2 linked regions of the Drosophila melanogaster genome follow. The protein of the gene in region 1 interacts with the protein of each later gene in a biochemical or structural test. Each region holds a gene or a part of one and is shown in the gene's direction. Other genes may lie near its edges.

Region 1 (8,303 bases):
CAGGGGGCAAGAGCAATCAAAAACATATTTCCAAAAAAAAAAAATGGAAAAGAAGGGCGAGGAAGATGAGAGATCTATTCGACAATTGTTTGCGCTGCACCCAAAACAACTGTTCCACAATATATGGGTAATAAAAGATACATTTATTCAGATACAGATACAGTATCCATATGCGCATTGTTTGACAACACGAGAATGCCACACAGACTGATACAGATCCAGATACCGAACACATATGGCAGCAATAAACATAAAGAAAGACAAGAGATGGGGCTGAAAACTGAAAACTGGGTACTTGGGCTCTGGGGTCTGGGGGACTGGAACCTGCCACTTAAACCGCAATCAGAAACAAAATTGATTTAAATTTGAAAATGTAAACAACACCCGACAAGGAGGACGGATTTAACAGCAATGCAACGTAATTGTATTATAACAACAGAGGCTGAGACTTTCAATTCATAACCGTCGGTGGTCACAGTGGGTCTGGAAAATAAATGGATATTTAAGGCCTTATTTACACATTTTGGGCCACCTTGAGAAAAAAGATTAAATATTGACTCAATGAACACAAAAGCTGGCTGTTTCTCGAGCTTTAAATAGCGAATAAAGTGTGCAAATGTTCATTTCATTTCACTTGTTCTATACTTTTTCATTCTTATCTATCAGAATGTTTCGAAAGCTGCCACAAAATGCTATGATCCACTGTGCCTCGAAAGTATCGCCCACAAACATTCCTATCCATACCGAATGGGGCATATCACATACGAGGGTGCCACACCCACTGGGCACTTTTTTGGGGGAAACCCACGTTAGAAAGCGCAGTAAACCAGTGGAAAGTGTCAAACGATCTGATCATCAAATTTGAAAAGAAAGCATGAGAAATACGTAAGGTAAATATTTAAAATGCAGATTGCATCTCAATTTGATTGAATAATAAAAATAATATTGGATGTAGGTAATAAAAAAAAGGTTTACAAGTTATTACAACTTTATGCAAATTTAATGTTTTGACCAGGTTTTACGGCCTGAAAGGTAATAAATACAAATCATTACAATATTGCTTTATGTTTCTTCTGTTATTCCAACTCTTATTTTAAAGACATATAATATTAGACTGCAAGAATAAATGCAATTTAACTGACAATTTTTTAACAAATTCTGCTGGAAATACCCAAATAAGATATGCACGTTAAACTTGTATCATGTTTTGAGGAAATGAACAATAGGATGTCTCTTCTAACCATTCCCATCGACTTTTCCAGACCATGAAAATGTGTGTAGCTTCGGGAAAAACCGAAGCTGGGCAAAAAATACTGGCAAACAATTTTTTTCGGGAGCTTTGTTGTCTGCGTTTGCCGACGTACGTTAATGAAGCTTATGAGCAGCAGCGCACAAGTCGCAACTCACTGAACTGCAACAAAAACAACAAGCACAGTGAAGCACAAGTGAAGCGTTGCAGTGCGCGACAGAGAGGGCAGACCGTACGGTTGGCATGCGAGGGAGGGAGAGAACGAACCGCAAGCGGGCGGCAACAAAAGGAGAGCGCTGCGCCAGTCAATGGCTGCACCTGTAACCACCTGCCCATACCGCCCATCCCCATCCCTCCCTCCGTCCACCACTCCTAGCCCCATCAAAATGAGACAAAGCACAGTTATGCTCGGCTTTGGCGGTTGGCGGTTGGCTCATTAATGTCTGACACGTTTGAGCGATCACCGTGCTGCAGAAACTCGAAAAAAGGTACTGATATAAAAATATATAAAAAAAAAAACAAACAGCCCAAAAAAAACGCAGTGTAAACAATTTTTTTAAAGCCGCTCGTGATTAACATTAAAAACGCATTTCCAATGGAGATCTGATTCTGCATGCACCGATTTCCGAGAGGAACAGATAGGCGGACTGCGGCAGCCAAGCAGAACGTTTATAAATATAATACAGTAGTTAGTGGCTACAAACGAAACAACCAACCATGCTAAACTTACAACTTTTCTAAAGCTATATCTATTTGAATATTAGGTATCTAAATTTATAATCTGGATCAAGAACTCATTTAAGTATAACCACGGAGTTATTAGCGCGTTCTTCTTAGGCGGAGCTTACTGTTTAAACTATGAATTGGGCGGGAATTATATATTCAGATATGACACGACCCAAGTTGCAAGTGCAGCGGAAGTGATCCATTACGCAAGTTTAGAGCGGAAAGAGCGGTGCGATTGCTCGAAAAAAAGAGATGGCAGAGTGGAAGGTAGAAAATGAGTATTAAAACCCATGGGGGTTTTATTACAATTACAATTCTGTGACATGCCAAACGAATCCCTCGAACTGGAAACTCTCTGTTCCAACCAGAATTCTTTATTTTTGGTTTTCTTTTCCTGTTTTGGGGTTAAATCTAAATACATACAAATGGCATTATCAAAGTTTAAATAAAATACTACATTTTATAATACATAACTTAAAGGGGATATATTATATTTGATTGGCAATTATAGAAGTTCCTTGTTCTCCTAATATTACAAGTTTATCTGGTTCTTTGTGCAACAAACTCACCTTGTGGCAAAACGCGGCTGCCTCCTTGGCCACGCCTACTCCGTCCGCTGAGTGGGCGTGCGTTGATGGCGAGGTCGCGTAGACGAAGAGCGGTAGCGAGCTAAAGTTCCGTTTGTCCTGAAAGCGGCGGCTGAAGAATAACGGCTTGTGGCATCCCGCTGCAGCGGCTAGTATGTTTGTTGTTGTTGCCGTTTTCGTAACACTAGGTGTGGAAGCTACTGCTGCTGCTTCTTCTTGTCTGCGCGTATTTACTGTTGTTGTTGTTGTTGTTATGGGTGCTGCAGTTGTTGTGTTTGCTGTTGTTGCATTTGCTGGGGTCGCCATTGGCGTATCGCAATTTTCTCGTATTATCGCCGCTTCTTCCTCTTCGCTGCAAGTTGTTGTTGTCTGTGTTTGCGTTTTTGTTGTTGGCATGACTACAACTACAGCTACTATAAATCGAATATAAATATATCGACGGAGGCGTGGGCGGTGGCGGAGCTGTGGGCGTGTCCCTGCAGCTGCTGGCGTCCCTTATTGTTGTTTCTGTTGTTCTTGTTGTTATTACTTAGGACCTTGGCATTATCCTCCTCCATCTTTTTTGCTGTTCAAGAAGTCAGCGAAGTTCAGCGCTTGCCAAAACTGAATGATTAGCACTTGCACATCGTCGCGTTTATCTTGGCTTTCTTCATTATTTCTTGTTTTTCAAGTGCAAAAATATTGTACAAATTCTTGGGCCATACAAAAGTGTGAGTTCTGTGTAAAAATTCACAAAAAAATACGCACGAAGCCGATTGCGGGGGTGGGAGAGAGATGGCGATACACGAACGAGTTCAAAGGGCCGCCAAACTAGGAAAAACACGCCAACAAATCAAACAAAACACTTGCACAACCGCAATTCGATCAATGTCGAAGCAAAACAGCCACTAATATTAAGTATATTACTTAATTAACAAACACTTTTGTTTGAAATATTTTGCAGACAGTTAAAGTTAGAGCTGGAACCAAAATCGATGTTTATGCGATACTATCGATGTATAGGGTAAGAGGGCTGCATTGATTAAATTCAGCTACCGTCGATTGTTTTAACTGTTCATACTATTATAACGGCAGTTTCAGACAGCGGAAGCGCCATTTGGAGTAGTGAGAAAATAAAAAGTTAAATTAAATGAACCAGTTTATTTTGTTAAAAATATTTTCATCCTTATGATAATAAAATCTAAATACTAAAAATCTACTAACGCCTGTTATTCCCAAAAACTATCGATAGCACAACGGAAAATATCGACAAGTATCCTGAATTGGCACGTCGGCCTTGCCAGACCAGCGCTCTGGAGTGAATTTAAATTTTAAAATAACGCCCTGTCAATTCAGTTGTAGAACTCAGTAGCTAGTCGGAAAGTTTTCAAGAACTCGGATTACCAACATCTCAAAATTGCTCAGTAAAAACATTCCGGCAGCCTGCAACACGTTGGGTGTTAACAAATTTACATACAAGTTGCAAGCTTTTGGGCGCACGCACCATCGATAAGAAGGTAGTTCGAATAAAATATAACACCTCCTCGCTGCCGGTAAAACTATTTCTTCTGGCTGTTCCCGAACTAAAGTGAGTATGAAGAGTCTTGCATTGGCAATCAAATTGTAATTAACTGATTCATCCCTCACCTAAAAGGCGTTGCCACCCAATCGATCTGGCCACCCCTAGCGAAAAGGTCATATAGCTGGACTGCTCTGCTGGACTTCCGCTTCACAACACTACCACACGACACAGACACACCATTCCTCTCGCTCGGGCTTACACTTCGGTGTAACGATTGTGCTTCGTTGCGTTCTCAGCTCACTAACGGTCGTCTCTATCGCACAAACGGTCGAAAGGCCCCGCATTGATTGTGAAAAAATAATCGTCGCCGTAGTCTTCGTCGGGTCGCCGTTTTTACTTGCAGTGCGCTGGTGCTGCTTTATTTCGTGACAAGGGACACTCAACCGAAAGAGCCATATTTAAGCATCAAAGTTCTAGAGGCGCAACGCAGCTTTGTGTTTCGTTTTTCGTTCAATTCTAAGCAGGAGGATTATATATTGAATAAAACCCAATTCTGTGCGAAGAACAAAAGAAATACGCGAGACACCAACACCAGCACACAACCAACCAAACACACACACAACCAACCAAACACACACACAACCCAGAAAATCAAATTTCAATCAGAAAATGGCGTTAAAAAGAATCAATAAGGTATGTGAAAAAAGGAATATCTCAAAAAACTTTGCGAAACGGACTAAAAAAAGAAAGAACAGAACCCTTTGCGATACACCAAAATGATAGTCTAAAAAAAAAGCGAACAGACATCAGTTTTCAACGGGAGAAAAATTTTATGCAAGAAATGTGAAACGTAGGTAGTAACCGAGGAGAAGAAAGAAGAAGCGGGGGGAAAGAAGCGTGCAAGAGGGAAGGGAGAAAATGAGCTGTGGAGTTACCATTTAATTAATAAGTTAGTAATTAGGAGCAGATTAGAAATTTTGAGGGTGGTGAAAAAGGTATAAGGATGTGTGTGTGTGGTGGGCAAGGCAACGTGTAGTGCAGTCATCGCTTCCGTTACTTTTGCGAGAGTGTGGGATAAGTGTGTGTGCGATGCGTGTGCGTGAAAGTGCAATGCAAATGTGCATTGTTTGTGTGCGTGTGTGCCGGGCACCTGGATGCATTTACATTAATGCAACTATACGGCGGAGTTTTCGCAGCTCTACGGGCGCTGTTACCCAATACACGCTGTACACGGCACTCGCACACACTCTCAGCCTCGCAACAGTCACACATAAACGCACACACTGCCAGCGCCGCAGAAAGATCCAGCAAAAAATAAAACAGAGCAAAAGCAAGAAGCGTATAAAATTAACCTAACCCTACTTTTTGCGCTGATAATTCAGAAATAGTGCTGCCCCCAAGCATATATATTTATATATGTATTTAGGTAGAGTGGTTCTAGCGTGCGTGCTTCGATAATTATTTTTAAAGTGCCTGCGCGTCGTTTGTCCTTGTCCAGTAAATGCTTTTTTACACCCCAATGTTCAAGGCCCTGACAACCCGATATTTTTTCAAAGTCATCCCAGCCTTCCTCAAAAGCATTAGTAATATCTCGAAGTTGTGGAAATGTTACTTGGCAAATTGGGATCTTTTTTTACGTTTGAAGCCGGTTATCATAGTCATACCCCACACACACACACATTAAAACGCTCGCAAATACAAAGTCTCGCCATCACTTGGCTATGGCCATTGCATGCCATCTCGCTCTGGCCCTGGCGCATTCCCTTTGCCCGCGACAGCTGAGGCCTCATTCGGTCCCGCTCGCGCAATGGGGCAGAGCCAAAGAGAGCGCAAGTGTGTGAGTGCTAGCGGGGCTTAGTGTTGCAAAACACCGTCAGCCAAAAGGGGGCCCCCAAATAATTAGTTATAAATTATAATTAAGCATAATTTACATACAAAATGAGCAGCGAATGCGGAATTTGTTCATATCTATGCGTATGTGTGAGCGTGGTGTGTATTTGTGTTTGAATGTGTGGGGCGGGGGTCTGCTGACTGTCTCGACAAAAGCAGCGCTGCCTGCGTCGGCGTCATGGCCATTGAGTTTTCCTCGTTTTTCGTAGTTTTCTATCCATTATAACATTTTAATGCCTGCCTAAATGAAAACGAAATGGCAAGCGGCAAACCGGAAATAAAAGTATACATTGTAGTAAACTCTTAAAATCACTCACGCCCCCTTTTTGTGGTCAATTCTTCAAAAGCCTTTTTTCTCTAGATGGCCTCATTTGCCAAAAAAGAGAGTTAAAGAGCGAGAGAGAACGGCTTAAACGCCGATCGGAGCTCACTTGAACCGTACACTGAACGAAATGGGCTTTAGAACCAATGCATATGGCATTTAGTCTTACTGAACCAATTCTTAAAGTTCACAATATTAATTATTCGAATAAGAATTAAATAGAAGTTTGTATTGGTAGTGCACCTGGTCTAATATTGATAATATTATCGAATTTTCTTGCTGTGCACAAGTGTGCGTGTTTGTTTTTACTTCATTTGTTCGTCTGATATGAGTCATAACCGCTCCGACTCCCAACGAAAAAAGAAATGTAACAATTTCTTGTAATTTATTTTTGCTCAACAGGTACAATTCCCAAAATGAGTAAGTGAGATGGGGCAAAGAAACACGGTGTTTTTCGCGACGGCTATTTTTGTTGTGCTCCACTCTGATTTTGTGGTGCCGTTACAAACACACGCATACACTGAAGCTCAGTCTTCTCACTCTCCTTCATTCTTCCTCCTCCTGCTGCTCCTCCTCTTACTTCTCCACTGAGTCGCGCTACTCTTTCGCAGCTCATCTTCATTATTCTTTTTATATATATATTCTTTTTTTTTGCCGGTTTACCTTACACCTCATTCTCTCTCCCCGTTTGGAGTGTGTGTGTGTGGGGCAGCTGTGATAAGTGAAGAAGAGTCGGAGTGTAAGAGAGAGGGAGGGGAGCCGCTCAGCTGTGTGCGTGCGAGTGCAACAGGGATGGAGCGACTGGTCGGGGGGTGGGGCAGAAGGAGACAGCGCCATTTGTGGTCCGGGCCAACGAACTTGATTTTTCACGTCTCTCCCTCTCGCTCGCACTCGCTTCGAACGAAGCTCTCGCATAAAAATGTTTATTTTGTATCCCCACATATCTGTTTTTAAATTCTGCATTTAAAATTTACATCATTTGCATACCAACCACACAGCATAAAATGTACGCACACCCGGAAAACCGTGGTACATACATACATATGTATGTACATATAGCTGGATCATAGAGCAAAACAAAAGAACCGACTACCGGAAAACATAAGCAGATATCCATGAAATGCACTTTTGACCATTTCCCATTTCGAGAATTCTTTTTGGGGTTTCCTGTATTGCAATTGCTAGGTTTGTTACCTATGCTTTCAGAAAGTAGGTAGTATATAAGGTTTGACTAGAAATTAGATATACTCTTTAAAAACCAGTTCTTTTTGTAGGACTTGACATAACTGTTAAAAACAATCAGAAATTGACTGAGCTTACATACCTATATTTAACTTTTATTTCAATGACTAATTTGAAAATGTCTTTGTTCAACAGGAACTGCAAGATCTGGGCAGAGATCCACCTGCACAATGTTCAGCCGGTCCAGTTGGAGATGATTGTAAGTATTGCTAATGTTATTCAACAACTCGTTGATTTGCCGTGAGTCAGTTGTATTATGTTGGGGGGGCTTTAACCCAAGTTTCGATTTCACCATATCGTGTGGGAGCTCCAAGACATGAAATTATGTGAAATATTTCTGAGTTGCCAAGTCTGAGTCAGTATAGTATATAGTCTGATGCAAGGAATAGGAACTATATATATATTAGGCAAAATTCACAATACCACTATCTCGGAATTGTTAATAAAAAATGCAAATATTGTCGATCGACCATCACCACGTCATAGATTTCGATCGTGACTAGGCATATAACACACTAAATTTGTACATCGTTTGTTTTCCTATTGGCTGTTACTTTTAGTTTGGACTTTGCTAATTTGGAATTCTTTTGCGCCAAGTTTGGATTCGGTTCTTTTTATTTTGTGATAGCGACGGCCTCCAAACAGCTGATCGCCATGACTTGGTTCTTTTTTCTTCGCTGTCTTAAACTCGATTTAAAAAACTCACGAAGCCGTCATGCAATTAGCCAACAAATTCACGCTGATTGTGGATCGGATTCGGTTACGTTATAGCACGTAGAGCTGTAC
Region 2 (6,470 bases), on another chromosome or scaffold:
ATCCCTATATATATATATATATATATATATATATATATATATATATATATATTCATGTGCTACCAGCTGGCAGTGGCAGTTTTGAGTGCGGCAAGACGCGTCAAGTGAAATCGAATTATGTAAGTGACCTCTGATTTCGCGGATATCCAACCGTTCATGGTCGATCGAATCCATTACGAAAGTTCAAAAGCCAATTTAAAATCACACCGCAATTAAATCGATCTCAAGTGTTCTAAATATAAAACTCAGCTAATTTTAAACGCGGAGAACGCTCTCCATGGGAAAGTTCAAGGCATTGGCCGGGATAAACAATCAAAGCGTAAAATAAAGTATACAAAATTAAATCAAATTTTTTAAGCTAATTTGCCAATTTGAAATAATGAAAAACTGTGAACTAAAAAAAAAAACGCAAATATAGGCAAGCCAAAGAAATGTTTAAAAATAGTTCCCACCGTTCGTTCTCCTATAAAAATAAAACTTTTTCCCTCGCCGCGTGAGTCTGTGTCTGTGAGTCAGCGTTGCGTTTGCCTCTTGCCAGGCCACTTGCCACTCGAAGTCGCCGCACGGAGCAGGCCGATCTTCTGGGCGGGATTGAGGTGGCACCGGGCCATGCCCCTCCCACCACTGCAGGCGGCTTTCATAAATATTGCTGCACAGTGTGACACAATTTCGGGGCAAATGTATGGAGTGGCTGCGGATGGTTTCAAAAATAGCGCAACAGACACGGGAGTGCAGGCCCAGCGAACACGTTGCGTATACGCAATGCGAGAGAACAGTGTGGCTTGATTTTTGCTATGCTGGCTGAGGCGTCGCGACTCCGAAATTTATGGATAAATTTTATGGCTCGTTACGCACTTAACTAGTGCGTGGAAAATATGCCAGAGCTGCTGGATTAATATATGCTCTAAAAGATATTATTGAGATATAAAACATATTCAATAAACGGGAAATTGTCTCAAAGTATCAGGAATATAAAATGTAGTAAGGAAAACTTTGAAGTGCAGATATGTATATTAAAAAGTTTAATTAACATTCAATCTTAACTTACAAGAATATGCAAGAGATAAATGATTCCTTGGTATCATAGATACACATTTCATAAAACATGAAGAAACATAGATATCTAATAAGTTAATTATATATGAAATATTTAGTTATATACATATAACTTTTACCGGTGCGTTGCCCTTTGAGTTGAAAAGTTTGATGCCTTGGACGCAATTATAGTAAACTTAAAATATATACTAAAGTCAGCATTTGAAATACCTTTACTAATGGAATTATTATGTTGTTTAGGCCATTATTTAATTTAAACTATTTGGCAACGATTTGGCCACCTGCGTCATTACCAAATGCATATTCGCTCAGCTTTTAGTCAATATTTTCCCTCTCTCTGTTAGTTTTATTCGCTCGCTTTTATTTTCAAGCATTTACATGAAATACTCTTCTATTCGAAACTTTTGAGAACTATTTTCAAATTCGAATTCTTCTCCCTAGTCTAATCTCTTTTGCAATTTTCTTGGCATCTCAGCCACTTAGCCGCGTTGACAGAATGAGTCGATTGAGTCACAAAACAGCACTTCCCTCTTTCGCATGATTTCATAAATAAACAAGACCGAAAATGTTATGCCAAAATATATACATTTTTCAATTTTTGTTTTCTATGCACCGAAAGATATTTTCGACTACATTTAGCGTTTTTATTCGCGATCGAACTGTGGCAGCGTTTAGTTTTGTGCACGGCATCCACGAAACTGCATTTTGGTCATTGGCTTCGGAATTTGGGTGAGCCAGCTAAAAATATGCATTCATAATTCGCATTTTCTGGCACTTTGCTTAATTGAATTTGAAGTCGTTTGAAGTGGCTGCGGTTGGGCGAAAATATGGCACAGGGTATTTGCGATCTATAAATAATTATAATAATATTAATATTTTGCTGCTTACGTATTTCGATGAAATAGAAAACCAATCAAGCGCAAAAAGACGATTAAGTGACGGCAAAACCCAGACGAAAAAATCGACCAAGATGACGACCCACCAGTTGCTAAACAAGAATGTTCGCACCATGCCCTCCTGGGTGGTAAGCCAATATCCAGTTTGCCAGTCAATATCCAATTGCACTAATTACCCATTTCAGATGGAGGCAAATGACCGCATTGGGCCCAAACCGCCACCCACGCCACCAAACGGTGTGGCTGGTGGTCTTCCCAAGGCGCCTGCTCTGCCGCCCAAGGCGAAGAGCACTCCCGAGCCGGACTACGAGATCATCGAATTCTCCAGCCAGCAGTACTCCAACGAACCGATGAAGACCACAGTGATCAGAACCAAGACACCAGGTGGGCAACCTTTTTATATATTCCACTTATTTAAAATACTACCAGAGATAATTATCACTTGCAGATAACAAACTAAAGTGCACCTTGTGCGGTTCCCAGAATCCCTGGGTAACCTGTGCCGAGTGCGCCGGCCAAATCTTTTGCGCCTCCTGCGACGACATGTTCCACAAGCATCCCAAACGTAAGCAGCACATGAGAAAGGTAAGTTCTCCCGATCCATTATGAATTTGAACTTAAGAACTTCGTTTTGCAGGCTGTGGAGCAGGGCACACCGCCGATTCCGCCAAAGGCACAGGCCGGTGGTGGGGCACCACCACCAGTGGCACCTCCACGACGCAGCAAACGAGGCCTTTTGACACCGTTTCTGGGCCGCAAGGATCAGGTACGCCACTGCACGATCTCCTAGACCCGTAAGAAAGGCTCCTTCATGGGCTACACGTAGTACCAAGTTTGTAAACTTCAATTTGAATGCTTCAATAAAAGAGTCCTTACAACCAGAACGCCCGACCAAAATTGTAGAAACAGCGATCCAGACATACTTTTTCAATTGTTACCCGAATACCCATACGAAATGGCACCCAACCCGACTCTTTTCCAGATGCTGCCGCCGCCCTCGCCCACGCCCTCGCACAAGTCGCTGGGCGGCTGGCGGGGATCGCTCGGTGGCGGGGCCACGCCCCCAGTGCCACCAATTGCCACCAGCTCTGCCAACCAGATGAACAACCGACCACTGCCCGATCCACCGCGCAGCGAGGGCGGGGGATCTTCCAGATCGGGCACCCCCAAGTCCGTGTTCGACACCATCCAGCGACCGCCGTCGGTGCAGCTGGAGAAGATCAAGAGCAAGGCCAGCGCCACGCTGGACCGCATGGCCATTCTGCAGCAGCGGTACCGCCAACAGAAGGCTCGCCAGGATCTGAGCGCCAACAGCGAACAGGTGAGTGACCCGTTGACCCCGAATCACAATCGTACGAGTCCCCTCATCACTGAGTGTATCGTATTGTCTTTGCTCGGCGAAAATTGTGTCAAGGATCAGTTATAATTGTAAATGAAATGTTAATTTATTAATCATTGATCCTTGATAGTATTTGATCCTTGCACTTCGTATCGTATCGTCTCGTCTCGTTTCGTCATGTGTCGTTTCTCCCTTTCCTCTCTCTCTCTCTCTTTCTTTTTCCGTTTCTCGTTGGTCATTTCCCAAGCGCAGCATTTGTCGAATGAAGCCGGCTTCGAGCACTGGTCAAACATTTCACCATCGCCCTCGCATTTTCGTTCCGGCAGCATGTCATCCGGCCTGAACTCATCCCATTTCGATCTCTCGGATGACTCACAATTTCACAATTCCTTGCTGCTCCAACAACGACAGGCGGCCGGCGCCCAGCGGCGACAGATGAGCACATCGGTGTTCAATCTCAACTCGAATCCACGTCGACCACTGTCCGAGGCCCAAAACGGAGGTGCCTGGCTCGCCAATCAGCGCATCCAGCAGGTGAGTTAGAGTTTCATGCTCCCTTAGAAACTAAGATACCATCCCGCTTGCAGGCCCAATCCCTGGCGCAGCTAAACTGCGCTGGATGTCAACAGAGTCAGCAGCATCCTGGCTGGGCACAGCATCCGCACCAAGCACTTCCTCAGCACCAGCATCCCGATCAGTGGTCACAGTTCGGCTCCCAACAGCAATTCAACAACTCCAATCTGTCCCTGAACGTTGGACCGGGTTACATGTCGCAGCAACATCATCCACACTATCCGCCACCAGTGTTTATGACCCAGCGTGGTATGATGCCCAATGTGTATCCAGGAGCACCAGGCTATCCCATGATGCATCCAGGTAAAATGAGGCACTATTAGTTATATTTTAATTTACATATTGCACTTTAAATGCGCAGGTGTCATGGGAATGCCACCTTCAGCTGCCTCCAGAGCTGCATCCCGTTCCCGGTACGCTGCATCACCAACACCCAGCCGCAAATCGATGTCCTTGCGTCGCAAGCGCAATAGCTACGTGGATGACGAACTTACGGATGACGAGGACTCCGACCAGGATGACCGCAGATCTTTGGTGTCCAATCGCTCGGGCATGACTAGTGCCTCGCGCTCCCAGCATCACCAAAACCATATCCAGCCCCGCCAAAGGCGCCTGTCCAGTGCCTCCCAACTCATAGCCAGCGATGAATTGGACGGCGATCAGGTGCATCACAAGATGCGGAATCGTCGGGGATCCATTGCCAAGTCCGTGCAGAGTGAGTGGCTACCGGAGCGACGGGAAAATGAGGGAACCCTTACCAGAAACAAAACAGCAACGGACTCGGCCAGAACCAGTCGCATTTACTCCGATCTGGAGTCTGAGGGATCGGGTGCTCGGGCCTTGGTTCAAGCTAAAATTCAGCAGAAGCTCCAAGAAGCCGATCAGCACAAATCCTCGAAGAAGGCTGAGCCAAAACGCAAGCCGGAGATGAAGGACGAGAATACACAGGCGGCAGCGGTGGTGCAAAAGGTGGTGGTGCCACCAGCCCATGAAGAGAGTGCCTCGGAATACGAGGAAGTGGTCGAAGAGGTAACCGCCTCAGAGAGTGAGGCTGAGGCTCAAACAGCACCCGATCCCCAGGAAGTTCCTGACGAGATTGGGGCTGATGATCTCGGCCCACCACCTTCTACCCCAGACCACGAATGGGAATGCGAGTTCTGCACGTTTGTGAACGAGCCCAACATCAAGATCTGCTCCATATGCTGCAAGACGCCCAGCAAACCTCCAGTGCAGCCCAACAAGGCCAAAAAGGTAGAGGAAAAACCACAGCCTCCAGCTGAAAAGTCTAACAATATCAAGGCGTCTTCCAAGACGGAAACTAAGCCAGTGCAAAAGCCTACTACAAAGAGCCAACAACCCAGTCAGAAATCCGTTGCTGCTCTTTCGAAGACTACTCACACCAACTCCACGTCTAGCTCAAAAGCGTCGCCAGCTGTAAACTCCAAGACCACCTCCAGTATTCCTATCAAGACACCATCGAAATCCACACTGAAAACTTCGTCGGAAAATGAATCCGATAACTCGCTGGCCAAGAGTCTTCTGCACAAAGGTAGGATACAAAAGAGAATCTCATTTTTCGAAGGCACAAAGACCTAAGCCCAACCACCAAAGACTATACCTAGTTAGTACACTAATAGAGCCATCAACTGTAAGCCTACAATTAACGCATTTATGGAAACGAAATACAAAAGAGAACCATAACCCAAGCCGCATTCCGTTTGTTTGATTTCAATCCGTTGGTGACCCCGATCCCGTTCCCCCAAAAGCTAATGCTCTCATCCGTATCGTTCCAGAGTCCGTTGAAAACATTTGGAATACTCTGGATGAGAGCATACAGGCGCAGGCGGAGCAGGTACTCAAGAAGGCTCAGAAGGTCTCCACGGCCTGTGGTGGGACTCCTCCCCGGGAAATAGCAGCTGTGGAGATGGGAACCTCCCCGCCTCCACAAAGCATTTCCACACAGACCTACGACGCTCTGCCCTTCAATACAAAGCAAGAAGAGATCATCCCCGTTGTTCCTGACCGCTTCACGACTCCAGAACCAAACAAGATGGAGCGACGTCCGCACTATCGCAGCAATTCCCAGCTGCAACAGGAGAGTGAACGTTATCGGAGTGCCAATGACCTGAGGTATCACGACGGCTTTGGATTGGATCCATATAGTGCCGGTCTGGTCACCAAAAGACCCAATTTCATAAACGAGCTACGCATGCTGCAGCTTGTAAGTATCTATGGCAATACTTGATAGTTGACATAATCCAACGGATCCATGTGTTACAGCAAGTATCTTCACCTTTCGATATGCCGCATGAGACATTCGGAGTCAAGCATGAGCCGGCCAGAGATCCGGAAACGGAAATGCACATCATACTGAAAGAACTGGAGCTGTACAAGTTTACGGTTGAGGAACTGGAAGCTGCCCTTAAGTACTGCTCCCCGGAGACTCATCCGATTCAGTGGCTGCGCGAGAACTGGCACAAGCTGGTGCAGACGGTGCAGAGTTTGTCAACCAAGTACGGACAGGAGAGGGGTGAAAACACGATCGGAACTGTGTCCCAAAACGAAGCACGCGAGGCATTGCGCAACTCGGGGGGAAATGTGTGGCA

The links. Proteins that work in one complex are often made in the same cells at the same time.
Region 2: of the proteins of eff (region 1) and LUBEL, one has a biochemical effect on the other in vitro, tested with the Drosophila melanogaster proteins (one study listed by BioGRID).

What each region holds. Positions count from the first base shown.
Region 1 is NT_033777.3:14,736,833-14,745,135, reverse strand, and holds the start of eff (effete), read left to right. Parts: upstream 1-3,816; 5' UTR 3,817-4,129; intron 4,130-4,195; 5' UTR 4,196-4,732; coding exon 4,733-4,756; intron 4,757-7,652; coding exon 7,653-7,716; intron 7,717-8,303. Other genes in the region: jvl (javelin-like), read right to left, coding at 2,545-2,958. UniProt on the Drosophila melanogaster protein: Catalyzes the covalent attachment of ubiquitin to other proteins. Mediates the selective degradation of short-lived and abnormal proteins.
Region 2 is NT_033779.5:6,766,201-6,772,670, reverse strand, and holds the start of LUBEL (linear ubiquitin E3 ligase), read left to right. Parts: upstream 1-1,702; 5' UTR 1,703-1,785; intron 1,786-1,961; 5' UTR 1,962-2,026; coding exon 2,027-2,080; intron 2,081-2,137; coding exon 2,138-2,336; intron 2,337-2,400; coding exon 2,401-2,537; intron 2,538-2,589; coding exon 2,590-2,718; coding exon of another isoform or gene 2,719-2,742; exon of another isoform or gene 2,743-2,834; intron 2,835-2,934; coding exon 2,935-3,273; intron 3,274-3,543; coding exon 3,544-3,825; intron 3,826-3,878; coding exon 3,879-4,167; intron 4,168-4,225; coding exon 4,226-5,413; coding exon of another isoform or gene 5,414-5,460; exon of another isoform or gene 5,461-5,575; intron 5,576-5,657; coding exon 5,658-6,085; intron 6,086-6,144; coding exon 6,145-6,470.